4 linked regions of the Oreochromis niloticus genome follow. The protein of the gene in region 2 purifies or fractionates together with the protein of the main gene of each other region. This does not show direct contact. Links are inferred from orthologs where the notes say so. Each region holds a gene or a part of one and is shown on either strand. Other genes may lie near its edges. The genes, in order: lamtor1, slc38a9, lamtor2 and lamtor5.

What was found.
Region 1: the proteins of slc38a9 (region 2) and lamtor1 purify together in Homo sapiens (co-immunoprecipitation; 5 studies listed by BioGRID and IntAct, with this or other methods). This does not show direct contact. The link is inferred for Oreochromis niloticus from reciprocal best matches to the Homo sapiens genes SLC38A9 and LAMTOR1.
Region 3: the proteins of slc38a9 (region 2) and lamtor2 purify together in Homo sapiens (co-immunoprecipitation; 5 studies listed by BioGRID and IntAct, with this or other methods). This does not show direct contact. The link is inferred for Oreochromis niloticus from reciprocal best matches to the Homo sapiens genes SLC38A9 and LAMTOR2.
Region 4: the proteins of slc38a9 (region 2) and lamtor5 purify together in Homo sapiens (co-immunoprecipitation; 5 studies listed by BioGRID and IntAct, with this or other methods). This does not show direct contact. The link is inferred for Oreochromis niloticus from reciprocal best matches to the Homo sapiens genes SLC38A9 and LAMTOR5.

What each region holds. Positions count from the first base shown.
Region 1 is NC_031979.2:11,637,438-11,644,449, forward strand, and holds the start of lamtor1 (ragulator complex protein LAMTOR1), read right to left. Parts: upstream 3,018-7,012; 5' UTR 2,796-3,017; coding exon 2,748-2,795; intron 1,962-2,747; coding exon 1,822-1,961; intron 1,729-1,821; coding exon 1,651-1,728; intron 1,434-1,650; coding exon 1,310-1,433; intron 1,191-1,309; coding exon 1,098-1,190; 3' UTR 1-1,097. Other genes in the region: sfrp2l (secreted frizzled-related protein 2-like), read left to right, coding at 6,493-7,006. UniProt on the Homo sapiens protein: Key component of the Ragulator complex, a multiprotein complex involved in amino acid sensing and activation of mTORC1, a signaling complex promoting cell growth in response to growth factors, energy levels, and amino acids.
Region 2 is NC_031972.2:10,544,817-10,552,501, forward strand, and holds the start of slc38a9 (neutral amino acid transporter 9), read left to right. Parts: upstream 1-4,677; 5' UTR 4,678-4,779; intron 4,780-5,678; exon of another isoform or gene 5,679-6,002; 5' UTR 6,003-6,074; intron 6,075-7,685.
Region 3 is NC_031976.2:35,941,679-35,949,064, reverse strand, and holds the start of lamtor2 (ragulator complex protein LAMTOR2), read right to left. Parts: upstream 3,018-7,386; 5' UTR 2,866-3,017; coding exon 2,798-2,865; intron 1,594-2,797; coding exon 1,431-1,593; intron 1,285-1,430; coding exon 1,195-1,284; intron 1-1,194. UniProt on the Homo sapiens protein: As part of the Ragulator complex it is involved in amino acid sensing and activation of mTORC1, a signaling complex promoting cell growth in response to growth factors, energy levels, and amino acids.
Region 4 is NC_031984.2:21,035,278-21,043,002, forward strand, and holds the start of lamtor5 (ragulator complex protein LAMTOR5), read left to right. Parts: upstream 1-4,707; 5' UTR 4,708-4,832; coding exon 4,833-4,867; intron 4,868-4,961; coding exon 4,962-5,023; intron 5,024-7,717; coding exon 7,718-7,725. Other genes in the region: prok1 (prokineticin-1), read right to left, coding at 879-956. UniProt on the Homo sapiens protein: As part of the Ragulator complex it is involved in amino acid sensing and activation of mTORC1, a signaling complex promoting cell growth in response to growth factors, energy levels, and amino acids.

The sequences.
Region 1 (7,012 bases), on a different chromosome or scaffold from region 2:
TCATACAATCCATCATGTTTTGTTTTTTTATATTCAAGCAGAAAATTCTGTACAAAGGCATGAAGACACAATATCTGTCCCTACACACACTCGCACACACCCAACCACTCACTTTCATCTTTGAATATTACACTTGAACTTCTGGCCTGCTCGTTTATTTAATGCTAGATAAGCGCAGAGGACACGGCGCCGCCTGTAAACTCCAGAATTGTGACCCAAGAAAAGCTGCATCCTCACCCGCCAGCCAAGGAAAGGTTATTTAAGGTTTGGCCTCGACTGGAATAACAGGTTACTCCACTGTCACTGTCAAATGTCATTGAAATTCCCTCTAGCCTGGTTAGTGTGAGTTGTGTATGGTTGCCAGCATACTTCACTAAATGATAACGTTTTAATTTTGGCAGAAAAAGTGTGTCATTCCTTTTTTCTGGTGCTAATTTTAACATACTTCTTGCTGCTCAGGGATAAAGACTGAAGAATGTCTGGTGACATCAAGGATGTTAAACAGAGCTAAACATATATGAAGCGTAAAGATTAAATCATGTTTGGGGGTTTGTTTTGCTTTTTTTTACCCTGGTAAATAAAATATTAGACATGTGGTGCAATGATTATTTGCAATATTCCACGCCACAGTGATCCCTTATTTTCAGTGGAGATTTTATCAAATGTATTGTATTAACCAACAGCCAACAGCTTTGTGCCAAAAATCCAACAGCTTTATCCCAGGTGAGTCCAACATAGATATCAGCAAGGTGACAAGCTAGCTCTGATTCTTAGAAAACAAAGAAACTAAAAACACCCCTGGACAACTTTTTCTTTTTTTTTTTTAAGAGATCATCAAAAAGGTTGATTTCCACAGCTGGAGGCCTCGCTGATGCACATATGAGCTCAAACCCATCTTCCATTTGTCACTGAATTAATTACACTCGAGGACAGCCACAGGGTACGACCCTACATTGTCTCTGTCTTTGAAGCAGTTTAGAGCAGAAAGCAGGAGGACCAAAATGTTTTAATGACGGGTGGGGCTGGAGGTTGAGGATGCAGGAGTGACACGAAGAAAGTGGGACTGGAGCAACGATATGCAGGCCACAGTTGCAGAATCAGGGAATGGCAAACTGGACCACCAAGTCTTCTTTAGCATCCACTTTGATTTGAGAGATTGCACTGTAAGCATAGGCTGCTATCTTAGACACCTGCAAAGAAAAAAGATAAGTCAAATTCTAACTGCTCAGCTGTCTTTAAAATGACACGACTGGGGATTCTGGGCAGGAATCACACAGCCCCATTCAGAGTATGTTACACATATGGATACCTGCTGAACATCTGAGTATGGCACCAGGTCACTCGCAAGTACTTGGTGGGGCTGGCTGGTGAGGGAGGGGAGAGCGAGGGCTTTGTTTTGAGGCAGACTGGTGCTCAATACAGTCAGCTTTGTACTGAAGAGAGAAAAACATAGAGAAATTAGCTGTGCTGCTATTTAAGTTCTCTTAAACCAGTAGACTGTGCTTTGAGGAGCTAGAGTTTAGCCTGTGTTTTAGTCTAAACAAGGCTGCTCTATTTGGTAGAAATCAAACAACATGCTGAAGCACCAACCAAAATTATTATCAGCCAGTAAAGAAAACCCATCAAGCTATAAACCGTGTTTTTGCATACCTGTATTGTCGAGCTCTGTCCATGTACTCGTGCGGCTCCACCATGATGGCATCTGCTGCTGAGACATCAATGATGTTCCTGATGTACAGGGGATAACGGCATGTTTATTACACAGACACTCCTGCGTTATTGTCAGTGGCATGTCTACGTTTGCATTAAAGAGCGTCTTACTGTGCCGTCTTTGTCAGGATGGATGAAAGGAGGGCCTGTTCATTTGACAGTGCTGACGAGCCAGGGCCAGGGTTCCAGCTGGTCCCGCCATTTAGTGGTTTGCTGGGAGGGTTTGGGGAGATCAGCGGCTCTCTCTCCTGCTTAAAAAAAGTCATGAAATTTTACTTCTTTTTCCTTCTAAATCAAAGATAATTATGACAGTTGAGACCACTTTAAATTTAGCTAACCCTTTTTTGGGGGGGGGGTAGAAAGCCAAAAATATACATTAAATTTCATTATAGTAATGCAACAACGCACACAGTATGACTTCTGGAACTTGTGGTGCTCTTACAAATACTCCAAAAGTCATTTCTTCAGTCTAAAAGAAATATATGAGCACAACACAGGCAGGCAGAGAAAACTATAGATCTTCACTCTGTCCCCATTGCTCCTTTAAACTGCTATGAGGAAAGATGCATGAAGGAAGAACTGACTTATTTCTCGAAACTAAAAATAGCTGGGAATCTTGAGGGTCATATGACTACATGAAAATAAAATCCCAAATGTCCCTCACCTTGCTGTTTGTCCTAACACATTTCGCAACACTTTACTTTTCACCTCGCTTAAAAACCACTTTATATAAGAAAAGAACATAAACAAAGCCTTAAAACACATCTCTTTGCCTGTGGATCTGTTAAAGCTTTTCTAAAGCTTTCATCTTGATAAGTTAACTGGCTTGTACTTCATAAAAGGCCTACCCAAAGGCTAACTTACAATAGCAAGCTGCTAACCGCTAGAAAACGACCACTTGGTAACGTCGTCACGCATTACTCACGTGTACCGTCTGCGGGGAAATATGCCCAAAGGGATAATATACTATTAGGTACTCCACTTCTAAAATTGTCCAGCTTTCACATATCGGGTTTAGCCTGCTAACAGCTAACTACCTTGTTCCCGTCCTCGCTCTTGTTGTCGCTGCTGTAACAGCAACCCATGGCAACGTCCGACGGCCGACACTACACAACCCCGGCGTCCCTTCTCTCCGTCAGAAACCAGTCGTGCTGTTCTTCTCCAGCAAACATAAAACTTGTCTCCAGCGTGGTTGTATTATAACCTCATCTAAAGGTAAGGAGCTACTGTCAGAAGCAGCAGCGAGCTATCACATGACAGCAGCTCTAGCCCAACAACACAAGAACCACTTCCGGTTTTTGAGAAGCGGCGTCGGCCCTCGTCACGTGAAGAGGAAGCTTTGAATGTGAGCTGAATGAATGATAAATAGATAAATAAATAAGTAATATATTAATACTGATATAAGACATTTTTAGTATATGGCTTTTTGATGGTTTCATTATTTATTCATTGTTTACGTACTGTTTTTTGTAACAATGAAGATTCAATAAAGGTAGATAAGTTTAAATACCTGTGGTCAACCATCCAAATCAATGGACAGTGCACAAAAGAGGTGAAGAAGAGAGTGGAGCCAGGATGGAGTGGGTGAAGACGAGTGTCCTGAGTGATTTGTGCCAGATGGTAGTGAGACCTGCTATTGAGTAGGGAGCTGGAGGTGGCAGAGCTGCAGATGTTATTATTTTTTTAATTGGAAGTGAACAGGATGGGCATATCAGAAAGAAACCTCAGGTTGAACACTGGCTGAAATGCAGCCAAAAACCTTACAGAGTCACCACCATATTTTATAAACAGTTCATGTTGTACCTGCTTCCTGACCTGCTGATACACACTGACAATATTATGAAGCAAAAGGTTCATCCATTGTTTTGTTCTTTTCAGATACTGTTTCTCTGCTTTAATATTTTTTTTAGACCTGCCTTCTTTTATCCTCCACTTGTGCAGTTTCCTTAAAGTTGTTAAGGACTCGCTGGACACCCAGTTTTAAGCTAATATCTCTTTCGGAATCACCTGCAAAAATCATAATTTAAGCCCATCAAACTGTGTCAGTAGATTTAAGTTATTAAATGGGAACAATTATTTGTTTTTGCAACCAGCTGGCAGTGATTAGATGTCTAATGACTCTTTGCTAAATTGCCTGTTAAGTGTAGACACAACACTGGTTCATCTCTTAAGCTATAGGTGGCTTTTTTATGTTTGAATGATTCCTACGTCAGTATTAAGTGGCTTAAGAAACAGAACATTCCTCTGACAATGGTCAGGTACAAGGACTGTACTGAAGAAATAACAGGTCTCTCTTGGAAATGACAATTGTATCTTAGTGAGATTTTTACCTGGATAAATAAATGATAAATAAAAAAATTTAAAAGCGAAGGAAGTGAGTGAAAAAGCAGCATATATACAAAGAAAAACTCTGGAAGACTTTCAGAAAGACTGAAGAATTTTGCTCTAAAAGCCTACAATAAACATGAAGAAGTTGGGCTCTTTGGAAATAGAGCATTAGAAATATGGGTTTGCTGAAGACTATTACCCAGTTCTGTATATGTGGGCAGTAATTAGGAAGTTCATGTAACACACAGAACCAACAGGAGACAGTATAGGTTGGGGTCAATAAAGGGACTTCCCTGGATCCAAGCATGTTAAGTTGGACTTGATTATAGAGTATTACATTACTGAGCTGGTGGTAGACTTCCGCAGGCACAAACATCCTCCACTGCAACCACTGAACATCCAAGGTATGGACATTGAGACTGTGGACAGCTACAGGTACCTTGGTGTTCATCTGAACAATGAACTGGACTGGACTCATAACTCAGACGCCCTCTACAGGAAAGGGCAGAGCAGGCTGTACCTGCTGCGGAGACCCAGGTCGTTTGGAGTGGAGGGCCCACTCCTGAAGACCTTCTATGACTCTGTGGTGGCCTCAGCCATCTTTTATGGTGTGGTCTGCTGGGGCGGCAGCATCTCTGCTGGGGACAGGAAGAGACTGAACAGGCTGATCCGAAGGGCCAGCTCTGTTCTAGGATGCCCTCTGGACCTAGTGGAGGTGGTGAGTGACAGGAGAATGGTGGCTAAGCTGTCATCCCTGTTGGACAACATCTCCCACCCCATGCAGGAGACTCTGACAGCACTGAGCAGCTCATTCAGTGGCAGGCTGCAACACCCACAGTGTGGGACGGAGAGATTTCGCAGGTCTTTCCTCCCCACTGCTGTCAGACTCCACAACAAAGACTTTAACTGATCAAACACACACATCCACACATGTGCAATAACACTAAGTGCAATAATCTTTTCTGGCATCGTTGTATTTTTACTCAGTTGTATATAGCATTTGTATTCTATTTTTATCTTATTGTATATTTTATTCTATTTTATTCTACTGTATATAGTATTTTATTTTATTCTATTCTGTACAGTTGTGTACTGTATTTATTCTTATTGTATTCTAATTTTTGCTTCATAACTTTTGCACTGTCCACTTCCTGCTGTGACAAAACAAATTTCCCACGTGTGGGACTAATAAAGGTCATCTTATCTTATCTTATCTTATCTTATCTTATCTTATCTTATCTTATGAATCATCTTACAAGTATCCCACTTTGTTGTTCTGTATTGCCCTGAAGAGTACTTTTTTAATGTCCATAATAATCTATAGGCAAAGTAACAAAGCGCTGTGCCTCTGTCATTAATTCTCTACTCTGTATTGAGTGACTCTAACTTGTCTGAACACTGCATTTCTTTCTTTTTGCTTTGAAGTAAGATAGGAAATTAGGATAAACCAAACTACAAATATTTAAGCAAGTATGAACTGCTCCTGCGTTTACAATAGGCTACTGTAGCAAAGTCCAGGAGGATGGGGCAGGATAAGACATGTCATTGTACATATGGCAGACTCACTGGGAAAGATTAAAGGCTCTCTGATATACCCTGGGGTTGTGTGCGATGACAGGGTACCACACACATACAGCTTCTCAAACGCACGATAGTTACATTTTATTTCCAGCAATTCATTTCACAATAAGGAAAGCTCATGTCTTTTAGAGCAGACATAAAAACTGCTGCACTGTCACTGTTACCTTATTTGTTTGTTTGTTACTTAGACATACATTTCCAATTTTTTATATTTTGTAAAAACAAAGAAAGTATAAAATAAGAGCAATTAAAAAAGACTCAAACAAATAGCAGAATGGCATAAAAAGCAACAGTTTAAATTATATAAATAAATGAATAAATAAACACAGTGCAAGAAAATGGCCTGGATTCCAGACATATTTACACAGTTGTTCTTACTCTTATTTGAGTGTCACAGACACATTGCTGATGAAATTTTTACTTCAGTTTTACCAGGAACAGAAATAAAATGGTAATCTGGGAGCATCATCTGATTCCGGTGTGCACTTTTCATGGTCTACATACCACAAAAGTCACCATTTGGATAGACTTTCCATTCTTTTTAGTGCATTATTGTCAATACACATACGTTTGGAGGCTGGTGAATATTTCTTATAAGTTCAAATAATATTGCACAAGTTTATTCTTTCTGTCTTATGGCGCTGCACACAAATGTTTTTAACATTACTGACAACCCAAACTAAGGAAACAATCCGTACGCCCCCACTGACACTGCCGTGGAGACAGACAGCAGCAGTCTGATGGGGTGGGATGGTGACTGGGAGGCGCCTGGCCTCTCATTAACCCCCTGTTTCCTCCACACCTCTCCGTTTACACCTACATGCCGGTCAAGTCCAGACAGAAGAGCAGGAGCGCTAGACTGAAGACAAAACGATGCCTGTTTTTCTGCTCTCTTTCATTGCGCTCTTTGGAGTTTCTCACGCTTCTGACAGCGCGCCTCCGGAACCGTCGCTCTGGTTCAAACCCACTTTCCGCTCCGTGTGCAAACCCATACCGAGCACTATGTCTCTGTGCCACGGGATCGGTTACAGGAGCATGTGGATCCCAAACATGCTCGGCCATGATTCACTGAGGGAGGTCCAGCAGCAGTCTGCAGCCTGGCTGCCACTCATCTCCAAGCACTGCCACCGGGACACCAAGAAGTTTCTATGCTCGCTCTTCGCTCCGGTGTGTCTCCCGGAGGTCAGCGGGCCGGTCAGCCCCTGCAGGAACCTGTGCGAGGCCGTACGGGATGGCTGCGTGCCGGTGATGAGCGCCTTCGGCTTCCCCTGGCCTTATATGTTTAACTGCACCCGGTTCCCACACGGAACCGAGCTCTGCATCCCCGTATCCGAGGAGCAGGATGGGCGGGAAACAGAGGAGGCGAAGCACGAGGAGGTGCCCAAAGGTCAGT
Region 2 (7,685 bases):
AGTTGCTTCAGTGTCACACGAAATCTTGCAAATCTGCAAAAAAGAAGGATAGATCCCAGTAGGAGACCAAAAATACAATCTTTGTGCTTTTTGAGAAGATAGTTTGTTTTCATGAGAAAAAATTTAGTATCAAATATCTTGCACACAGAAGTTTATTTACCACTGTCAAACAAGGTTTAAATGTTTCAGTGTTTAAGAATATAGATGACTGGAAATGGGAGTAATTTCAGCTTAAAAGCAAGACTCAGCACCACATTGACAGATAAGAATCCATAAAGTATCATGGTGTTTTTGAGTCTTTGTGTCAGAAGGCTGAAAAGACCAAAATACAACTCTGGGCTCAGATGCAGACTTGAAACAACTCTCGTTGATGCAAAAACTTTATTGAACCATTTGACTTTCACAAACCAGCTTACCAATAGAGAGAGCAGCATAAATTTTGATGGTCCAGGAATGGCAGTTGTATTTGTAGTATGAAAGTTTGGAAGAGGAGATTCCTTACTTGTGAGCCGAGGCAAGACATTTGCAGGAGGTGGTAGCCAAGTAGTAGCTTCTCTCCTCCTGTTATCCCCCCAAAACCCCACCCCGTTAGATACTGTGTCTTCTTCCAGACAACAACAAAAAAAACAACAACACTAAAATCAGCAAAAATGATTTAAACATTAAAAACAAAGAAAGAATAATATAGTATCCGCAATTGCACTAAAGAGTAAAACAGCGAAATGTGGATTATTAAACATTAGGTCTCTTCTAAGTCCCCATTAATACATAAATTAATAATTTCTCAACAAATTGATTTACTCTGCCTTACAGGAACCTGGTTGAAGAACGAGGATTATGTTAGTTTAAATAAATCAACACCCCTGAGTTATAGTAATTGTCAGAATCACAGACCGAGGAGGGGGTGTGACAGTAATCTTCCACTCCAGGTTATTAATCAACTAAAGCCTCGCCCATCCTAACTGGAAAACATATTTTCTCACATGAGTATTTTTCCAGCCCAAATAAAGATTTTCCAAATTAGTGCAACGACATTTCTTCTCCAGCTTGCTGTTATCTGCTTTTAACGTGTGCATTTGTGAGTTGTACAAGTGTGTCAAGCATCTTTCATTTGTTTCCTTCTTTTTCAGAGAAGCCATAGTGTCCAAAGTCATATGCAGTGAGGATGTAACACTGTTAACAAGATAATGGACCTATGTGGGATTAAAGTTTAGCTAGTTGCTCTGCATTGGATGAAGGAATCCCTTCCTAAAGCATGGTTACAGACTTGGATCAGTCTAGTGTCTATTGTTATATAAGGATTTATTCTAAAATAAAATGAGTAGTCAGACAAAATACGGTTAAATGTTCAGTTTCTATGCAATATGGTAAATGTACTGGTCACTACAAGTGAAAAATCAGAGCATTTTCAGCTCTGCCACCTCCAGCTTGGGCTCCTTTCTTGTTGTTAGTGCCCCTGTCTTCAAACTATACATCATATCAGGTCTCACTATCATCTTGTAAACATTCCCTTTCATTTTTGCTGCTCTTAACCTTCTGTCACAAATTAGACTTTGGCATTTGTCTCTGTCCACGCCACTACAACACGCTCTTCCCGACTTCTTTTGTCTGTTGCTTTGGATGGTTGACACACAATATTTAAACTCATCCCTCTTTACTACTTCTGCTCCTTGTAGCTTCCTTCTCATTCACACACACATTTTTTATTTTGCTTCTACTGCCTTTCATTCCTCTTCTCTCTAGAGTATGCTTCTTCCTCCTCGAGGCTGTCTTCATTGTGTTCACATTAGAGATCACAATATAAACTGCAAACATCACAGTACATGGAGAATCCTGTATGACCTCATCTGTCAACCCATCCATCAAACCCTCCAGAAGGGGCTCAGAGAAGTTCCCTGTAATCCCACCCCCACCTTGAGCTCACCTGTTATTCCTACTGCACACGTCACCACCGCCTTGCCTGTCCTTTTATGGCTGTCCTATGTATGTCCTGAACCACCTGCCACTCATGACTTCCTCATACAGCATCATAATTCCTATCTTGGCATGATATACTTTCTCTAGATCAGTAGTGTCCAAACCCAGGGCTCGAGGGCCGGTGTCCTGCAGGGTTTAGATGTGTCCTGGATCCATCACAGCTGATTTGAATGGCTAAATTACCTCCTCAACATGTCTTGAAGTTCTCCAGATGCCTGGTAATGAACTAATCATGTGATTCAGGTGTGTAGACCCAGGGTGAGATCTAAACCCTGCAGGACACCGGCTCTTGAGGCCTGGAGTTGGCCAAACCAGCTCTAGATTCTACAGGGTGGGCCATTTATATGGATACACCGTAATAACATGGGAATGGTTGGTGATATTTAAGTCCTGTTTGTGGCACATTAGTATATGTGAGGGGGCAAACTCCTCAAGATGGGTGGTGACCATGGTGGGCATTTAGAAGTCGGCCATCTTGGATACAACTTTTGTTTTTTCAATAGGAAGAGGGCCATGTGACACATCAAACTTATTGGTAATGTCACAAGAAAAACAATGGTGTGCTTGGTTTCAACGTAACTTTATTCTTTCATGAGTTATTTACAAGTTTCTCTTTGTTCACAGCCATTGGCATGTCGAAGAGGTTAACACGTGAGGAGCGGATCGGAATTGTGTTGATATCTGGTGAACGCAGTAACCGGGTCATTGCAGCAGATTTCAATGCAAGACACCCTACGAGACCACCCATCTCCCATGCTACAGTTAGCAAACTGCTTGCTAAGTTACGTGAAACTGGTTCAGTGTTGGATTTGTCAAAATGTGGACGCAAGAAAACTGTCACTAATGAAGAAACATCAGTGGCTGTCCTAGCTTCATTCAGCAAGAGCCCACAGCATAGCACTCGCTGCATGTCACTGGAGAGTGGCATTAGTCGAACATCCCTTCAGCGGATATTAGCTACTCACAAATGGCACCCTTACAAACTCCAGCTACTGCAGCATCTCAACGAGGATGACCCAGATTGGCGCACAGAATTTGCAGAATGGGCAAAATAAAAATTGGAACAGGACCCTCAGTTCATGCAGAAGATTTTGTTCAGTGATGAGGCAAACTTTTATGTGAATGGTGAAGTTAACAAACAAAACCACTGCTATTGGTCTGACACTAACCCACATTGTATGGATCCCTCCAAGACTGTTGGAACAACAAAAGTGATGGTTTGGTGTGGCATATAGGGTACAACGATAGTGGGTCCATTCTTCATCAATGGAAACCTCAAGGCCACTGGATATTTGAAATTGCTACATGATGATGTGTTTCCCTCTTTATGCACTGAAGCTGGCACATTCCCAGAGTTTTTCCAGCAAGATGGTGCACCACCACATTATGAGTGCCAGGTCCGAGCATTCCTAGATGAACAGTTTCCTGGAAAGTGGATTGGTCGTCGTGGGCCAGTTGAATGGCCCCCAAGGTCTCCCGATCTGACCCCCTTAGACTTTTATCTTTGGGGTCATCTGAAGGCAATTGTCTATGGTGTGAAGATACGAGATGTGCAGCACCTGAAACTACGGAAACTGGATGCCTGTGCTGGCATTTCTCCTGCGGTGTTGCTATCAGTGTGTGAAGAGTGGGAGAAGAGGGTTGCATTGACAATCTAGCACAATGGGCAGCACATTGAACACATTTTATAAGTGGTCAGAAACTTGTAAATAACTCATGAAAGAATAAAGTTACGTTGAAACCAAGCACACCATTGTTTTTCTTGTGACATTACCAATAAGTTTGATGTGTCACATGGCCCTCTTCCTATTGAAAAAACAAAAGTTGTATCCAAGATGGCCGACTTCTAAATGGCCACCATGGTCACCACCCATCTTGAGGAGTTTGCCCCCTCACACATACTAATGTGCCACAAACAGGACTTTAATATCACCAACCATTCCCATGTTATTACGGTGTATCCATATAAATGGCCCACCCTGTACTGTCTGCTGCCCTCCCTCCTGGACAGCTCCATACCTCCACAGGTATGTCATCTGGACTAACCACCTTCCCAGCTGCTCTCATTTCAACCTTAATCCTTGGCACTTTTTTTTAACATTCAATTATACTTCCTGGGTGATTTGTTTTACCTGTCCTCCCACCTGTTGCCTGTTCCCTTGCCATCCTCTGTCAACTCTGCCCCTTGTCCTTTGTTTGTCCTGCCACATGATTGTGTCTTCCCTCTCAGTTTTCCTCCTTTAAGATTTGTCATTTTTGGTTTTCTTGTTTCCCTCTGGGGCTGTAACCAGGAAGCAGATTCCACATTGAATTAATTGAACTTACTCTGATCAGCTGTTCTGGAACAGGAAACAGTGATAGGTACATGATGCTCATGGAGTGTGTAGCACATTGCCCTTATTGTGTCGACACTGTGTTGACATGTTGCTTAATGGCTCATTTATTCCGATTTTTTGATACCAAATACACATAATACAATATGTCAAATGATGTAAAATGCAGAATTTACAAAAACATGTTTGCAAGGAAGTATAAGTAAAAAAAAAAAAAAGAGAAAATCAAAGTGAAAATTTTGTTGCTAGGAAATATAAGTGCTTGTGGCATTGGGCGTACTTGTGTATGTGAGGGGAAAATGCAGGGTTAAATTAACCCAGACTGGAGAAAATGTCCCTTTTCTCATTTTCTCTTTTCATTGTACAGTGGGTGATGGCGAGCTCCTCTCAGCATGAATGGAAATACGTTGAAAGTTGCACTTCCCGATAATAACAATTCTCACCGCTGTACGACACATCAGCTGAATAGGTAACTTTTGAATAGGTGATTTTTCTTTCAGCTACACACCCACCTATACAGGGTTTCGCTCTTTATGCTTGATGCACGCACCAATCACTATGAACCTTAGAGTTGCCAACGTCAAAGTTAACCAGGAGCTGATCTACATAGGTTTTCTTAGGGTGGCATGGAAATCAAATGGGGTGGCCATTTGTCATTTTACAAATATGCAGGTGTTATATTCTGTAATATGCATTAGAAAAGTAAAGACACACACACACACACACACACACACACACACACACACACACACACACACACACACACACCAATAAGGCCGCCCTTTAGTTTACCTCCCCTGTTTCCGAGTCTTGCATTTGGGTTCTACTCCACCTGCCACACAGCGAGCCTTGACAGCTTTCCACCATCCCTCCTTCTCTGTTTTCTTATTATATTCTTAATCATTCTAACCTGATGCACATCCTTTCCATCTCGATTCACCATGTAGTTTCCTGGGGCAGTGTCAAAATGAGACATTGTCCTGGCCTCAGACAAATCTGACCAAAATCAAGTTGACTGTTGCGCAACTGTTGCGACAACAATTATTTGCAGTCACTGGCCATTAACTTCTAAAGAGCTGTCATGCTCAAACCTTAAATGGCCCTATTCTCATAGACAACAACTGGAAGCAATACAGACAGTTTGAGTTGCTTGATATTATCTATTAAACTGAGAATCAGATTTAATTACTAATTACACCTTCACTCAACTGATGGTGCCTGAATGCCGACTTTAGCCCTTTGTTCTTGCTGGGCATAACCAGGCTTGGCAAGCTGTTTGAAAAACTTAAAGGCAAACATTAAATGGTTTATGTCGCATTAGAAGTCCAGAAATGTGGTACACCACTGTAGAAAATATACAGTGGCGACCCCTAACGGCAGCAGGTAGAAGGGGAAGAGGAAGGTGGAGGGCGGCATAGCGTTCGAAGAGTATTGTCCGGCCTAAATACATACGAAGAAGAAGAGGAACAGGAAGAAAAGCAACATCGTCACCAAGCCTAGTACGAAGACTGCTGACTATTTGTAAATTAAGTTCTTCTTCCTCTACGCCGTTGCTCAGCTCATTAGTCGTGTACAAATATTATTCAATTATTATTTCTTATCGGAATAATATTTAGCTGATGTCACCGGTGGTGTTAGACTTAAAAATGAATAACAACTGTGTTGATATTTGATTTCACTTCAACTTTCGAGGTGAAACAATGGCAGAGACAGCAGAACTGAGATGAGCTGAAGACCCGAGGAGAGGACACTTCACTGCAGACTGTGAGTTCTACAAAGAAGCCATGCAAGCCTAGCATGACATCCTTTTTTTTTTTTTTTTTTTTTTTTTTTTAAAAAAAAGGAGTTTAGATATGAAACGTTGCCATTCAACTACCAGCCTTTGCTCTCGTTAAGGTGTTTAAAGTGTCTGAGCTTTGTTGTACGTGACTTTGAGTCTAAGAATCTTTAAAACTTCTTTACACTTAGTACGTATCTGTGTTGAAATGTGGTTACAGAAAGAATTCACTATGGATTATTTGTGCCAAAACCTCAGACAGTCTCAGTATCGACTTGTTACTTTGTCCAGAGAAATATTTGTGTTGTCACGTGCATGGCGGAACTATGCCTATAAGGTTAAGTCGCTAAAGGCAGAACAAAAAGCTCTTCCTAAGAAAATGTGAAATAAGTGTGGCGATTTCTTGCATATAATGCAAAACAGAAATTGTACAATTCTAAAAAGCTTGAAAATTGATATTTGGTGTGAAAACACATTCCAAAGCTCCTCTTTGGATGTCGGCTGCCTTTTATTCCATTCTGTTAAGACGATCCTGCACCGCTTCTGTGAGGTCCGTGCTCTGGGAATACCATCAGATGGCAATATTTGTGGTTCCAAGGAGACTTTCTGTCCTCTAGAAGTTTATGTGAATTCTCTTTCTGCTGAGTTTATGAGCTCACTCACTCGTTTTGTGTAAAGTAAAAAATAATTGTGTTTGTAAGGGTAGCATAGTGGTTAGCATTGTTGTCATTCAGCAAAAAGGTCCTGAGTTTGAATCCACCATCTGGTAGAAACCTTTTCATGTTGGTGTGAGTTCTATTTTTGTAACCTGGCTTCCTCCCACAGGCCAAAGACGCAGAATGGGTGGAAGTCTGTTTTGTAAATCGTGATCATACTATATTTCAGAATCGAGGATTACCTGTGAAATTAAATCTCAGCCATTCTCGCTGGTTACAGGTTATTAGGTTATTAGCTAATGAGAGTGTGGATTAATACTTCTTCCTCCAAGAAAGCTCATCTTGAAACATCAAACATTGAACTTGAGAAACCAATAGTTGATGTCCATCTCTTATACTCTATGGTTTGGGATCATTGTGATATTTGAAAAATAAAGCTGCAGCTCTAGAGCTTCCACTTATGTTTTACAGTTGGCTGTGCATTCTTTGTTGTACTGCTCTCCTGACCTCCTCCATGCATATTTATGATGATATAAACCAGAAACCTGAAATTTGGATTTGTCAACCCATAAGACCTGTTGTCACTTATTTTTCATGCAGGTTTTGTGTATGTTGGCATACCTCAGCCTTTACTCCTAGTTTCTCTTCCTTAGGAATGGCTTCTTAACAACGATCCTTCCACTGGCTCATCCCTTGAGTTAGGTGCTTTTTTAATGGGATGATTCATAGGACAGTGTTAAGTGGCTTAACAAACAATAAAAAAGACATTCCTCTGAGAAAGGCTAGGTGCACGAATTTAATTAAAAGTGAGTGAAATAGCAGCCAACACCAGAAGAGAAACTTTGAAAGACTTTCAGAAAGGCTGGGGAGCTATTGCTCAAAGAAAGTCTGGATCATTGGGAGCAAAATATGAAGAATTGTGGAGTGGCTGAGAAGTTTTAT
Region 3 (7,386 bases), on a different chromosome or scaffold from region 2:
TGACGTCCTGAATACAACACAAGACTAGTTAGCCTCCGGAGGCTGTGTCAGCAGATTAGCTGAAGGGTATGCTGACTGGGAAAAGTGGCAAAGAAAAACTGGATGCACATTCAAAAAGACGGACACAGAGTCTTAAAAAAACAAACAAAAACAAAGCTCAGTCATACTGAACTCCTCATAAGAAGGACTAGTTCACTGTTACTTCTGAGTCAGACGTTTGTTAAACTAAAAGCATGTTTTGCCAAATTACATCCAACTGCTGAACTTCCTTCATTAGCAGAAATCCTCTGCCTCCGTGAAAGAACTCTGAAGTAAAGTGGAGGTAAAATTAAAAACACAAAAAGCTAAAAAAAAAATAAATAAAAATCCTCATTGTTTCCTTGTATTTATGTGCAAACAAATAATGAGCCACACTTTACCCTCAGCTGTTTAAATATTAAATCCATTCTCAGCTGGTCTGGAGGCTCAAAATAAGAGTCTTTATTCTTTATTTGGTTTTTGCATGTGAGTGCTTTTATATGATTTAAAGCGACATAAAAGTACAGCGATCATTCATATTCAATCACAGGCACTGACAATAGCAGAAGGTTAATACTTTCAGTAGCTGCTTATTACCATTACAATGTTTACGCTGATTTAAGAAGATTTTTTTAAAACTTTACAGTAAACTGAATTTAAACCTGCCAGTCGGAGAAAATTAAAGTATTTAGTGACATTTCACAGGCTTTCGAAAAGCATGATAGGCAATAACTGTCAGTTACAGAATCAGTATATTAAACTGTTGATTCAATTGCGTCACAGACACCGGCCGGCTGCCAAATTCAAAATGTTAAGGTTTCTATTTTTCCTGTCCATTTAGATTTGACTAGAATACTTAGTGTGCATGTAAAGTCCACTTAAAATAGTTAAAAAACATGATGGGAAATCAGTTATTGTCTCAGATGCTTAATAATATAATTAACTACTTATGGATTTGATAAATATTGTAAATTAATTAAATTTCTTTTTTTTTTTTTAACTTAAAAAAACAACTCACAAATTGACAACAAAGAGAACTTTTACTTTATATGAGTAAATTTCCAGTATTTTCAAACCTGGCCCTAAATCATTAATAGAAACAGTAACGGTTGTTGATGATCCACATTCAGAATATGAAACATTATCTCATGAAAAGGCAGGAGTTTAAACTCTCACCTTGGCTTTAAGCATCCCGAAGCCCACCGTTTCTTTGGCGTACATGCACAGCAGCAGGTTGGCGACACGAGTAATGGCCACTCTTCCCTCCTGAGAACGACAATGTTAAAGGCAAGAAGACCACAGTATCTCAGTTTATTACTTAATGATGGCTCCACTTTTTCCCACATCACACAAATCTTTCACATATACCTGAAAAAAAAAGTAATAAAAGATGGGGGAACAGCATGTCTTACCATACAATCCATGAGAATGAATTTGAGTTTGTCTTCATTAAAGGCTTGATGGCCGTTCTTGTCATAAGCTGCCCAGATGTTGCTGGCGATAGCAGCTGTCACTCGAGCGTCGGTGTCCCCGTACCCAGAGTACGCCAGGAGTGAGCCTTCATTATTCAGTAAGCTGGTGAGAAACCACATAACCAGCAGATTAATATTAAATTAATATAATAACTTTCAGAGCACAGACAAAGTTATCAACTAAACATAATATATACTCTAACTAAGGTGTATACTACACGAAAATGTATTTTATTTGTATAGGATTTCTTACTACACCATTTTACTAGGCAAGTCTGTTTAAGTAGTTTAGGACTACTGTGAAAGTCAGGACAAAAACACCATATGTACAGTGGTCCCAGTGGTAACAGAGCACTCGGTGCGATTAGGCGAGTGGCTCCAGCAGATCCCAGAAACAACATCGGAGATCTCTGTCCAGAGGAGCACAGTCCTAGGAGCAGCAAAGATACTGTGCAGGACCCTAAAAGCTCCCAGGCCTCTGGTAGAGGTCCGGGAGCTTGAAGGATAAAGAAGCCCTGCAGTGGCAAAAGGTTTTTTTTAAATTATTATTATTCCCTTTAAAAGCATATATAAGTGGTGTCATATACTAACTCATGACAGAAAATAGTGATGACTACTTGCACAATTTTAATAGCACGAGTTGTTGATTCTAAAGGTGTGATTTTCTTTTTCTTTTTCAAAGAGGAATTTTGGTGACACCAACTCGCGTAAACACAACTGATCAACATATAGTCACAGTCTGTATTATCTTACACACAAAAAAATCGTTTTAGTACATATCTGATGCCCTTTTTCCTCTTTGGTGGAATATACCATTACATAAACACAGTTATTGTAGTTTGTAATTGTATATTATTTTGATATAAAATTAGGACAACATTGTTTACCTACTTATTTTTGGAAATTTGACAAACAACTGTTTATTTTATGCTTAAGGAAATTAAACCCCTGTGGGGGGAAATGCCTGACATGAACCTATATCAATTATTTGGGACATTATACTGAGACTGAGATAATGATCAGACACACTGACTATATAATAAAGTAACTTGAATTTTGTGTTGAACACTTCCAAACAGACTGTGCTGGTTGTGAAACATCAGCAGCTCCTCTATGCAAGATACACACTGTTTGATATAATAACATTTTATTCGTCCCGCAGGGGTTATATTCAGTTTTAGAGAATATTCAGAAGACTTAACATGTGTATTGCCTTTAAATTTATATGTAATCGTCAAAAAATGCACCGCTGAAACTCCAGCAGCAGTTAGCATGTGGCTAGCTTGCGGCTAGCTCGCCGTACTCACAGAGTGCTCTGGACTCCGTTTGTGTTCGCCTGGCTGAGAACCTGCGTCAGCGCCTTCGGCCGTAACATGGCTGTTCACCCTCCGATATAAGAGATCAAATATAATAACACTTATTCAGTTTACGGGACGCGACGAGGAGCTTTAAAGTGCCCAAACTGCTCAGAAACACACAACCAAGTCAGCTGATTCGGTTTTCATTTCCGGGTCCGATCGCAATGCATCACGGGAAATGTAGGTATTTCAAAACCTTATTTCACCCCTAAATTCTTTTATACAGTTTTTTTTTAAAATTGGTTTGGCACCATTTTCATAACTAAAGTGTGCATTTTTAAATCTCTCAGTACAAAACTCACATTTGTAACACCACTAGTTATTCTTTCAAATCTGATGTCATGATTTCATTGCATTTGCACATATTTACATTCCACGTAATCATTGTATCAGAACACATGATCACTGTGATATATTTTGAGAACATTTGCTTTAATCACCCAAACAAAACAGTAAGCTCTTTTTTCAACTTAGTACTTTTACCAATCACTTCATTCAGGAGCAAATAATACAAGGTAAGCGATTCAAATTGTCCTTGGTGATGAATGAGTGTAACTGAACTGTAAAACTGTACACAGCAAATATTATACTTATGTTCAGACATAAAAAAAAATAAAAAATATATATATATATATATATATATATATATATATACACACACACGCATATACATACACACAGACACACACACACGAAAAAGGGAGAAAAACAACAAGTCATTTACATAAGCATAATATATTTTTATGTTATTTTATTCTTATCACTTTTACACAATTAATCAAGCCGGTCATTAACATTGGGCCATAAATTTTCATCAACATCACAGTGGATGTCTTCGTTGTTCAGGCACCGTGGGAAAAATGTCCTGGCATGACGAATCCAGGCTTGACATTGCTCAGCAGTTATATCACCACAAGCTTCACACATGAAGAAGGGAGACATGCTCATGGGGATGGCGATCATACACCTTCCACCTCCATGTAGAGAAGAATTCCTTAATTGGGTTGAGGAAAGGGGAATATGGTGGAAGATAGAGGGTCATGAAGCGAGGATGTGTTTGAAGCCATTCCTGAACCAGCTGTGCATGGTGGAAGCTGACATTGTCCCACACAACAACATAGACGATGTCTTCTCCCTGACAGGCCTGCTCCAGTTCATTAAAAAAAAAACAAAAAACAAAAACAAAACAAAAAAAAAAAAAAACCCACACACTCTCAGGTGTTCAGTGTTGTATGACCCTAGAACTGGTCTACAGCCTACCACACCATCTTCAGATATAGCTGCACACATTGAGATGTTTCCCCCATGTTGTCCAGGGACTTGGATGGTAGCCCTTTGTCCAATAAGGTTACGTCCTCTGCATCTAGTTTTTGCCAGATTGAAACCGGCCTCATCAATGAAAATATACTTGTGCTGATTCACAGCAGCGTCCTGTTACAGTAATTGCATGCCAGTTTAGTGTTGTACCTGAATATATTCTGAACGCAGTTGTTTCACCCGGACATTGTTCCTCTCAAAAGGAACCAAGTAAATTTGTTTCATGGAAACCTGGTGCTTCTTCAAAAGCCGGGCAATCGTTGGAAGGCTAATTGATGGCACATTGGCAAAGGTGTCATTGCTGTTCTCAACAGCCTGTTTGATTTCAGACAGCCGTATGTCATTCCTTGCCCTGACCATTTCCACCACAGCCAACTCCTGCTGGTCAGTCAAAACACGTGGGCGACCACCACCAGGTTGTCTCCTGTTAATTCTGACAATCATATACTGTCAATATTGAAGTATTACAAATTACATTACTGTAAACTGACAATTACATGTTGTTCATCTATACAATAGGGTACTATTTTTTAGAAGTGAAGTTGCTATAGCAGACATACCGGTTTTCTTGGCGAAAAGTTTGGATGATAGAGCTGACAGTTGACCTTTGTAAATTAGGCTGTACCACCCTGGCAGCCTCAGCCATGGTAAAGCCTCTGTTAACCACATGGTCAACAATGATGGCCCGGACTTCATTAGAGATGATGGTGCGTTGTCTTCTGCCTACATTTCTCTGAAGACCACCTCTCTGTCGAGGAGCACCACCACCTCTTCGATGAAGGTTTCCTCTCCCTACGAGTCTATCCTGCTCCATATTTGAACAGTGCAAAGTCTCAAACACAGTTCTACTTATATGGTAACTAATTGTGATCATCAGGGGGGAAACAATTAGCAATTAGTATTTCTAGATTGAAAGCTCTTGCAGCCATGTGTAACTTACAAATGACCAGACAACAATCAGTCAAGTTGAAAATCCATGGACATAATGAATGATTCATTGATTAAACATTAAGATCAGTTGAATTGAATGACAGACAAATGTATTAAACTGAATGATAAGAGATGCAAATCAAAAATTTTGTAGTGATAACATTATGAAAGGCAGTAACTGTGAACGAAACATTTATTTAGATGAAACACTTATTTTGTGTAGTGAAAAGGATATTTTGTCATTATGTGTATTGTACTAACACAATTGGAAATATGCTGAAATGTTTGAAAAAGGTGCACTTTTGATGATCTGTTGTGATATAAGTACGAAGAGTTTTGAAAATGTACCAATTGCTTGTGAAAACTGCGCCAAACCAATTACAAAAAACTGTAAATACCACACACAGACCACAACGCATGCATCAGGGTCAGTGAAGGTTAAAAAAAGGCCTGGGAGAAAGGGAGTGAGTGGATGGACGTCGTGAGGGAGCAAAATCACTAAGAAAATTATTTTTTAATTTTTTTAATACAATTTTTTAAAACACATTTTAAACAAAATATCAGATATTCTGATAAATATAAATATCACAAAATATCAGATTTCAGATCAGATGCAAATTTGTGAAAAAACACATGGAAAATTGTGGGTTTTTTTATTTGATGAGCTTTGCAATCTGCCCAAGGGTATCCTGTCATTTGCCCCATGAACCGTCCCCCTGACACTAGACTGAATACCTCAATTCAATTTTCAAAGAAAACAAAATTAGAAGACCATCAGTAGTCCTATCCAGTAATATCCTTTATGCTGTCTTTGACCCTCATAAATGTGTATGTGTTTATGGCGTTTTAACCGTTTTCTCTGTTTTCCTTTTCAGTGTCCTGTTACACACTTGTAAAATATGCCCCATAACAGATTTTAAGCATTTTTTTTACCACGCTTGCTATCCCATGTTTACCAATATTACAATATTAAAGAGACCCTTAATTTGCCTATTTATTACTCACTTTGACATGTAGAGCCTTGATTCTAACAATTTCATGTCTAACACTGATAAGATTACAAAAATCTTGGTATATACATAACATTTTTCTTTTCCTGATTTAAATAATAATACACATTAGAGGTCCAGCTGGTACCTGCTCCTTGAATCTGTATGACTTGGCTTGCATCCAGCAATATACGAGTCTTGGGTTGGTCAGCATCAACAGTGCTCTCAGAATCAGTGTCTGCTAAAAGTTTGGATTTCTGCATATTCATGGAAAATTACAAACACTGGGATCACTCTGAATGTCTTTAGTAACACATTATTTCTCTTCTTGGAGGACAGGAACCGAGCTTCTACCGGTGAAGTATTCTTGGGTGTTCCTGTCACAGTAGTGACCTTCTACACCTGATCTGAAGAACAAAGAAAGCCTGCCCATGTTCTGCTACTACACATTTTACCTAATCAAGTTGTTCTTGGGTTCATTTTCCTATCAACAGAACAAAGAAAGGATGATTAAACTGAAAGAATAAACAGTCGAGTCCAGTCAGAACAACTTTCCTACAACATCAACTCTAAATCAAGGCCAACCTAACGAGTCTGCCACACTACAGCGACCTTTACCATAAGGTCTTAATTTTATTGGTACAAGTTCTCTCTGAAACCTGTAAGAGCTGACATTTATTGTATTTTTCTTCTCTGCCCAAATAGCTACGACATCATTTTCACCCTGATCTTCAACATTCTTGTTTTTTTTCCTGTTAGAATTTTGCTTTTGCTATGGACAATTTACTCTGTATATTCTCACTGAAGATACTGATTTTAGTCATTCAATCTTACTGAATAAACATGTCTTTAAAACAACATGCTTTGAACTGCCAGATATCTATTTAAAGATCATTTAAGCAGCCAAGACCATATAGAGGGACTCACTTACAGTGCAAAAGGTCAGTAAATAGTTCGATATTTTCAAAGCGTGGGTGATCATTATCAACAGATCTGCTCAGTAAGCTCGGTCAACAGCACTACACCCAGTCAGTGATAAGTTTAGTCATCAGCCACCTCCCTCTCTGAACAAAAGACTTGTATCGCTTTTCATTAAACTTTGCAAACACTACCTTCACTGGAGTTACTCAAATCCTCGATCTGCACTAAAATGCCCCGTAATCTTATCAGTTTTAACCCTGTTTTTATGAAGAGAACAATCTGTTCAGATGACTGCTTGGATTTTAGGGAACACCTTCTCAAACACCACAATCTGTACAAACATTTAAAGACCTATCAAGATCAGTCAGTCTGTGGCCTTTA
Region 4 (7,725 bases), on a different chromosome or scaffold from region 2:
TGTTGCCAGTAAATCTGTTTCATCTTCTTATATGGCAATAGATATAGAGTTTATCTTTTCATATACATAATTTTTACTTATTGTAATAGAGATACCCTCCCATGTTTGGACAGCGAAATCCATTTTATTTATTGCCTGTCATCTCCCTAACCCATTTACAAATGAATAGCATTCAGGGGGCTGAGATAATTTCCTCTGATTTTTCCAGTTAACTTAAAGCGGGGGAGGATATGATCTGTCATTAGTCATTTGTAATGAAATTTAACAATATTATCCAGAGAAGTGATCTGTTCAGTTTTCATGCACACAAAAAAACACAAGTTAAAATAAGTTAAAATATATATATATATATATATAAGTATATATATGTATGCATATATACATATATATATATATATGTGTGTATATATACTTCAGTTCAGTGCCCCATTCCACTTTCCATTTGGAAAGTGGAATGGCGCACTAGTATATTCAAATAATTTTTGTAAAAAACCATATATATACATACATATATATATATATATATATATATATATATATATATATACATATATATATGGTTTTTTACAAGTTGTATGTTGCAGAACAAAAAAAAAGATTTTCTGATAATGAAAATATAATGATAGAAACAGACATTTTAAATATTTTTATTGATTTTTTAAAAATGTTTTGAATATACTAGTGCCCCATTCCACTTTCCATTTGGAAATTGGAATGGGGCACTGAACTGAAGTAACAGTTACAGTTATAATAGACACAATGTAAAATGCACTTTCAGTATGACAACACACAGATTGATGAGTTGATTAAAATACTTCTCTAGTCTGATAAATCAAAAACCTTAACATTGAGTTGTTCCATTAGAAATTCCATCTTACCCCTGTGATAACGGCTCCTCTGCACCAGCTCCCAACGGACAACAGGAGGAAGGACAGCAGCACCTCCCTGAAACCCATGACAGCAACAGGAGAACTGGACTCTCTCAGCACCCCCAGCACCACACAACAACTGTGAACTGTCTCTGTGGCACGTCAAGCTGGTTCCCCGACTCTTCAGCCACTCCTCAACGTTTACACAACTCCTTAGAGAGGGCAGCCTCCCTTTCTCCTTCTCTTTATCCACCTGTGACCCCCCCACCCAACACTCTCCCCTCCCTCTCTTCTTTCCTCCCTCATGCCAGAAAAATCCCCCTTACACCCCTTCTGTCTGTCTACTCAGAAGCTCTGTCATCTCACCTATCCAGATGACAGCTTATGAAGACTCACTTTAGGGTTCAACTACATCGTCTCTGGACCGGGGCTGTAAGAGTTTCCACCAAGCTAACAAAAACAAAAGGACCAATTCAGTAGTTGATGAAATTTATACAAACTAAAATAAATGTGACACGTCTGTGGAAGAAAGGGCACAATCCTGAGCTATTTGTCAATCAGAAGTGATCAAGACAAAACAAATAAAAATCAAAGCCATCTAATGAGTTTACTGACATTACCACATTACTGACTTGTGGGTTGGTCTTCTGGTAAAACACAGAAACAGGAACGTGATATTTCTTATTTATCACATTACTGTATGGTGTGTGTCATGATGCTATGTGTTTTAAAGAGGTTTAAATTAATGATTAAAACCTCTCACCACGCCTCACTGAGACGTCTTACGAAGCTACAGTGCCACTAAAGCGATACGAGAATAGGAATAATGAGTCTTAATGTCTCTGAATTATGGTAGTCATGATCGCAGTGATACATCAACTCTGAGTCAGGGTCTATTTCAGATCCAGCTCATTTGCAGATTTACTGCAGCTCTAATGTATAGGTCACGAATAACTGGATTTATACCAACCTCTGGTTGTACAAGATTAAAGTGTGTGTGTGTGTGTGTGTGTGTGTGTGTGTGTGTGTGTGTGTGTGTGTGTGTAGGCCTGTTCTGCTATCTTTGGAGGACAAATTTTAATTCCAGTGAGAATTCAGTAAAGGTTAGGGTGACTGGCTTTGCTGTGACGGCGAAGGTTAGGGCAATGGGCTTAAGGATTTAGTGTTTTATTGACTGTCCTCACGAAGATAGCAGGAGTTACTGTGTGTATGTGATGTGTACGTGATACATAAGCATACATATGTGGCATATAAAGCAGGCTGAAAATTGTTCCATATGCACAGACTTATACTTGTACATGCGTGTGTGAGTACGTGACTGCTTGGACAGTGATGAGCAGCTGGTTGTCAGAGAAAACGGGCAGGCTGTGATTTAAGTTGCGAAAAGAGAAATACGAGCGAGAGAAGACGAGAGCCAAAGACAGAAAAAAATTAGAGGGAAGGAGGGAGGGGGAGAGCACCCCTTGGGTTACTCAGCAGGACATTACCCTGCTGCTGCGCAGGTGATGGATTCCTCCAATGCAGTGGCCATATAATTACATTCACCCATTTTTGCCCTGTCAGCAGGAGCACTGAAGCCAAGCCATCCTGGGACAGGCAGCAGAAATCATGTGGAGGTGTGCCCAGAGGCCTCACACTAACTTCTAAAGAAATTACATTAACAAAATCTGCCATCAAGAGGGTACAAGAAACAAGATTTCTGTTTTAAACCCAAAGTATTATTGCTATATTTTACATGCAATAAAAGCCATTGTTACCGTGCTTGTATTTATTATGCTGAGTCATTCTGTTATGTTACATGGATGGTGGAGAGGACTGTGTTTGGAGAGGTGATTTTACTTCTCAGTACCGAGGAGCACCTTTGACACTAGAGTTGTTTTAGGCAACCTCAGCTTATTTGTGGGTGTCGAGTGACTGCTCCATAGGAATACATTGGGAAGTGGATAATCAATAAATATATTCAGAAGAAAAACTAAACTAATCTGATTTTATATTTATGCACCTCTGAGTACCAAAATCAATTTCTAGTGGAGGTGGGCATGAAGAGAGTAACAGATCAATGATGAATTATAGAGCAGCAAGGTTTCATTACATAACCTATCTAGTGTAGAAAATTACTTCAGTGAACGAGGACCTCGGCACACGGAAGACTGTACTGAATATTATACTCATGAATCAAACACTTTTCGCAGAGTGGGGAATATGAAATCTCATCATGATATAAATGTCATGGTCCTGTGTTTTGTCCATTGTTTGTTTTTTGTTCAGTATTTGGGTTTTGAATTTTTCCTTTTTATATTTGAGTCTGGAATTTTTTTTTTTATATATCTATATTTTTTACTGTAATTCTCCAGGGTTTTTGTTTGTTTGTTTGTTTGTTTGTTTATTCATGTTATGCAAAGATTGTTTTTTCTTTTGTTTCAGGCTCCTGTTTAGTTTTCATGGTGTTTTGGATGCCTTTTAAAATGGGTAACAAACCTACTGCTTGTTTTGGATCTTTATTTAGCTTCAGTTCCTAGTTTGAGTTATTTCTCATGCGTTAAGTTTTTCCCTCCCTCCTCCAGTGTTCCCTTCTCTTTGTCTTCATGTTTAATATGAGCTTTCCTGTTTCTGTGTTTATTTGTAGCCTTTGGACTATTTCCTGCTTTAGTGTGATTTATTTCCCTCTGATTTCCTGTTTTTGAATCTTATTTTCTGTCTGTTGATTACTTTCATCTTTGTCATGTTGGTGTTTTGTTCCCTGTTCATGTGCTTTTGTTGTCTTCAGGTCTCCTTGTATTCTTTGGACTTTGTGCTTTTGGACCTATTATCAGCTTTCTATTGAGTCCTCTGTATTGTGTGTCCTGCATTCTGGCTTCATTGCACACAAAACGGTGACATACACTCCCTGGCCACTTCATTAAATATGCAAGTTTGATGACTCTTTATTTATTTAGGCATGTAGACAGTGGAGATTACATTTTGAAATTCAAACTGGGTATCAGAATGGAGAACAAAGATGATTAAAGTGACTTTGAATGTAGCATAGTTTTTGGTGCCAGAAGAGCTGTTCTGAGTTTTTCAGAAACTACTGATCTACGGGGATTTTCCTGCACAACCATCTCTAGGGTGTAAATAAATGGTAAATGTTAAATGGCCTGTATTTGTATAGCGCTTTACTAGTCCCTAAGGACCCCAAAGCACTTTACACATCCAGTCATCCACCCATTCACGCACACATTCACACACTTGCTAATACAAGTTAGAAAGATGCATTAGCAAATATAGATCTATATAGTCACAAACTCTGTGCTTTATATGAACGTAAGAACGGCCTAAACATTGCATATATTATGAGTTAGCTAATATGGAAGTTAACCCCATAGAAAACAGAAAAGGCAAATGCAAGCAGGCAATAGATTTAAAACTGGGGAGTGGGAATCATCATTTTAAATGTCAGAAATAAATTTGTATTTGTAATTGATTTTTTAAATCCATTTAGTGATGTCTCTTTTATAAATTGCATTTTCAAAAAAGATTTTGAAAAATTTGATTTTAAATTTGGCATTAAAAAATGTTTTTTAAAATTAAGTTTTTATTTGTTAGTTTAATGCCATTTCACTTTATATTTATTTATGATTAGTCCTTTTATTTTCGATTAAATTATCAAATAATTATTGACTTTATTAACGCCTGAATGTCCAATAAATGAATGAGGGAATGTATTTTAATGCATCATTCATCATTAAATCACGAAACGCTTTATTTCAACGCTTTATTTCATGACTCACTTGGTCCTACATACATGACAATATTTTAAGTCTGTTGTATATTTCCGCGCTTCGCATATTTTGGTCCTCATATGGACCCTTAGTTCATGTGACAGTCAGCTGACTCTACCCGGAAACGTTGAGGTAGCAGACAACAACAAAAATACAGCTTCATTGAGCAAACTTCGATTTAAGTTATTCGCGATTGATAACAATGGAGTCGACCCTCGAACAGCATCTCGATGATACGTAAGTTAAAACCACTCTAGCACTGAGTATATGTATTACGTTTTTGTGACCTTTAAAGCGACTTTCGCTCCTTCTGTGTGTTTGTTTGTGGCAGCATGAAGAATCCAGCAGTGGTTGGTGTGCTCTGCACGGATCAACAAGGACACAACCTGGGCTGTAAGTGAGGAAATCTCAAACTAGTTCACGTTAAACTGGCCTTTTACTTGTCAAAGTGCACTGGTGTCGCTGCTCAGATGCTCAAAGTTACGGGTTATTTAGCCATAAGTCATTACGCTTTGGATGGGAGAGAGTACCGAGTGGTGTTGTTTTCACGAAAACATTAAGTTGTTATTGGTTAATACAGGGATACAAATAAGCATTTAAAGTAATACATAAGACAATATGAAATAGATCCAAGGGCAAAAGGAAGAATTCAAATAAACAAAGCAAAAATACAAGTATTAATTAAAAAAAATCCACGTTAAGCTCCTTCATAATAAAAAAAGGTTGTGGGCATTTCTTTGGAAATGTGGGGATTTTTTTTTTTAACCTGCAATCTGTTAATTGTTGAAGATCAACTGCCATACTAAAATTTCTACCTAAAGCATTCATCATAATGGGTTAGGGACATTTGTCACTGCATGAAACAGAAACATACACTTATATCATTATGAAGGGAAAAATATTCAAAAAGAATAGAAGCTTCTCAACTTAAAATCGTAGTAAAACTATATTATATACTGATCTGAGTATTAGCACTGTACACACTGTATTTGTAGTCAAACGTAATCATTAGTTTTAGAATAATAAGTTATCAGTTGTTATTAAACCATCTACTACTAATACATTATTCTAATACAATAATAAAATACAATAATTAAAAAAAACTTTAAGTATGTTGATGGAGAATTAATTTTCATTTTGCATATAAGTCAAGTGAAAAAGAGTTAAGCACATCTTTGCTGCTTCCACAGAAATTAAGAGAGTAAGAAGCAGCCAAATGTTAATGAAAGACGATTAATTAAGAAAGCTGAAATTTTGGGAATTTGGTCTGCAGTATTCAGGTGTGTGTTAACACACGATGCCACAATCTTCCCATGAGTGGATGTCCCATGGTAAATATGTTAAATGTCAAACATCATGACAGTACAATTAGAAGAAAGCTGAACGAGATGGCTGCAGTGTGCTCCACCGAGTCCCGTGAAAACGTTCTTTTTTTACATAACCTGCTCCTATGCTTGCTCTATCAAGGATTAATAAATGTTTTAGTGATCCCTTGATTAACTTTGATGTAGCTCCTGTAAAAATCATCCAAACTTGGGTACAAATGTTTCAGACGGTATTTTTCAAATGTACAGTGGTCCCTCGTTTTATCGCGGGGGTTACGTTCTAAAAATAACCCGCGATAGGTGAAATCCATGAAGTAGCCAACTTTATTTTTTACAATTATTATAGATGTTTTAAGGCTGTAAAACCCCTCACTACACACTTTATACACTTTTCTCAGACAGGCATGAACATTTTCACACTTTTCTCTCTTTTTTTTGTTTTTTTGTGTTTAAATACTCTCAAAGTTCAAACATTTGTAGAAAAATAAGTCCGGTATTATAGAATGAAACCACAGGTGCCTTTGACGGTGCAAAACGTTTCGTCGACATTGTTGTGTTTGTTGGGGAGAAAACGTACAAACATACAGTACAGCACTTCCGAGTCACACTGCTAGCGATTGAAGATTTATGTAAATTTGACAAGCTGAATGCATTCTGTACTGTACAGGAGACCTGGCACGGAGGAGATTGATTGACAATGGTCTACAGATGATCAGGACACAGAACACAATGCGCTGTAAAAAAAAAAAAAAAGAAGAAAGCATGCAAAATTGCACAAAAAAAAAAATCCCCAAAACAGCAAAGCCGCGAAAGGTGAACCGTGTTATAAATGTAAACATTTTACTAGGTTTTCCTCTGATATAAAAAATTGCTGCTCTTTAATAACAAATTGTATATCGTGTATGTTTCATTCAAGAACATAATTAGCATATTGATAGTGGTATAACTCAGCTGGAAGGGTTATCACTTACACCAGATTATGTGCTGCTTTATCAGCATTTGTGGATTTTAGTACATTTCACCATCAGACTTTCATATCATTGAAATACAAGTAGACTCTCTACTCACAGGCTCACTTTTCACTGTGATGGAATGTCCACTTTGTAATAGTTGTGTGTATTTGAAGTATATGCTTCAAAACAAACAAAAAAACTTCATTAAAATATTATGAATAAAATCTTACTGGCCAAAAAATTTTGCTGTCTGACTCTCTGACAGCTTTCTGTATTTATTTGACTTCTTCCTACGATTTAGTTGAGTAGATTCACAGCACTCTCATGTCTGCATAGTAAATATGAACCTAGAGCCAGCGGCCACTTAACTTAGCATACAGACTGTCTGTCCTAACGTAACAAAATCTACAGTCAAATCCAACTAATTATCCACTTAATGCTGTATTCTGTTCATTTTTGTTCATCTTACAAAAACTGAAGTGCAGAAACAGCAAATTGTGTTTTCCAGGGTTTTGTGTATCTTGATCTGACTTCTTGACCAGGTGCAGAAACTTCCTGGATTGTTGCTAACACTAGGCCTGGAAACACCGTGAAGTTAGTGTGCTTGTCCGAAACCGTGGATTTGTTCCTTCAGGGATAGCCTGGTCTTCCTTATCAACAAAGAAATGTGTTAAAATAAAAAAAAATGTTGGTTTGACTCCACAGCTAGAAGCTAGACAGCATGAGTTTGTTAGATGCATGATGACCTCAGAGGGAAATTAATCAACACTGGTTTGAGTGGTTTTTTTGAAAAAGTCTTTTATTTCCAGGCCGTGGG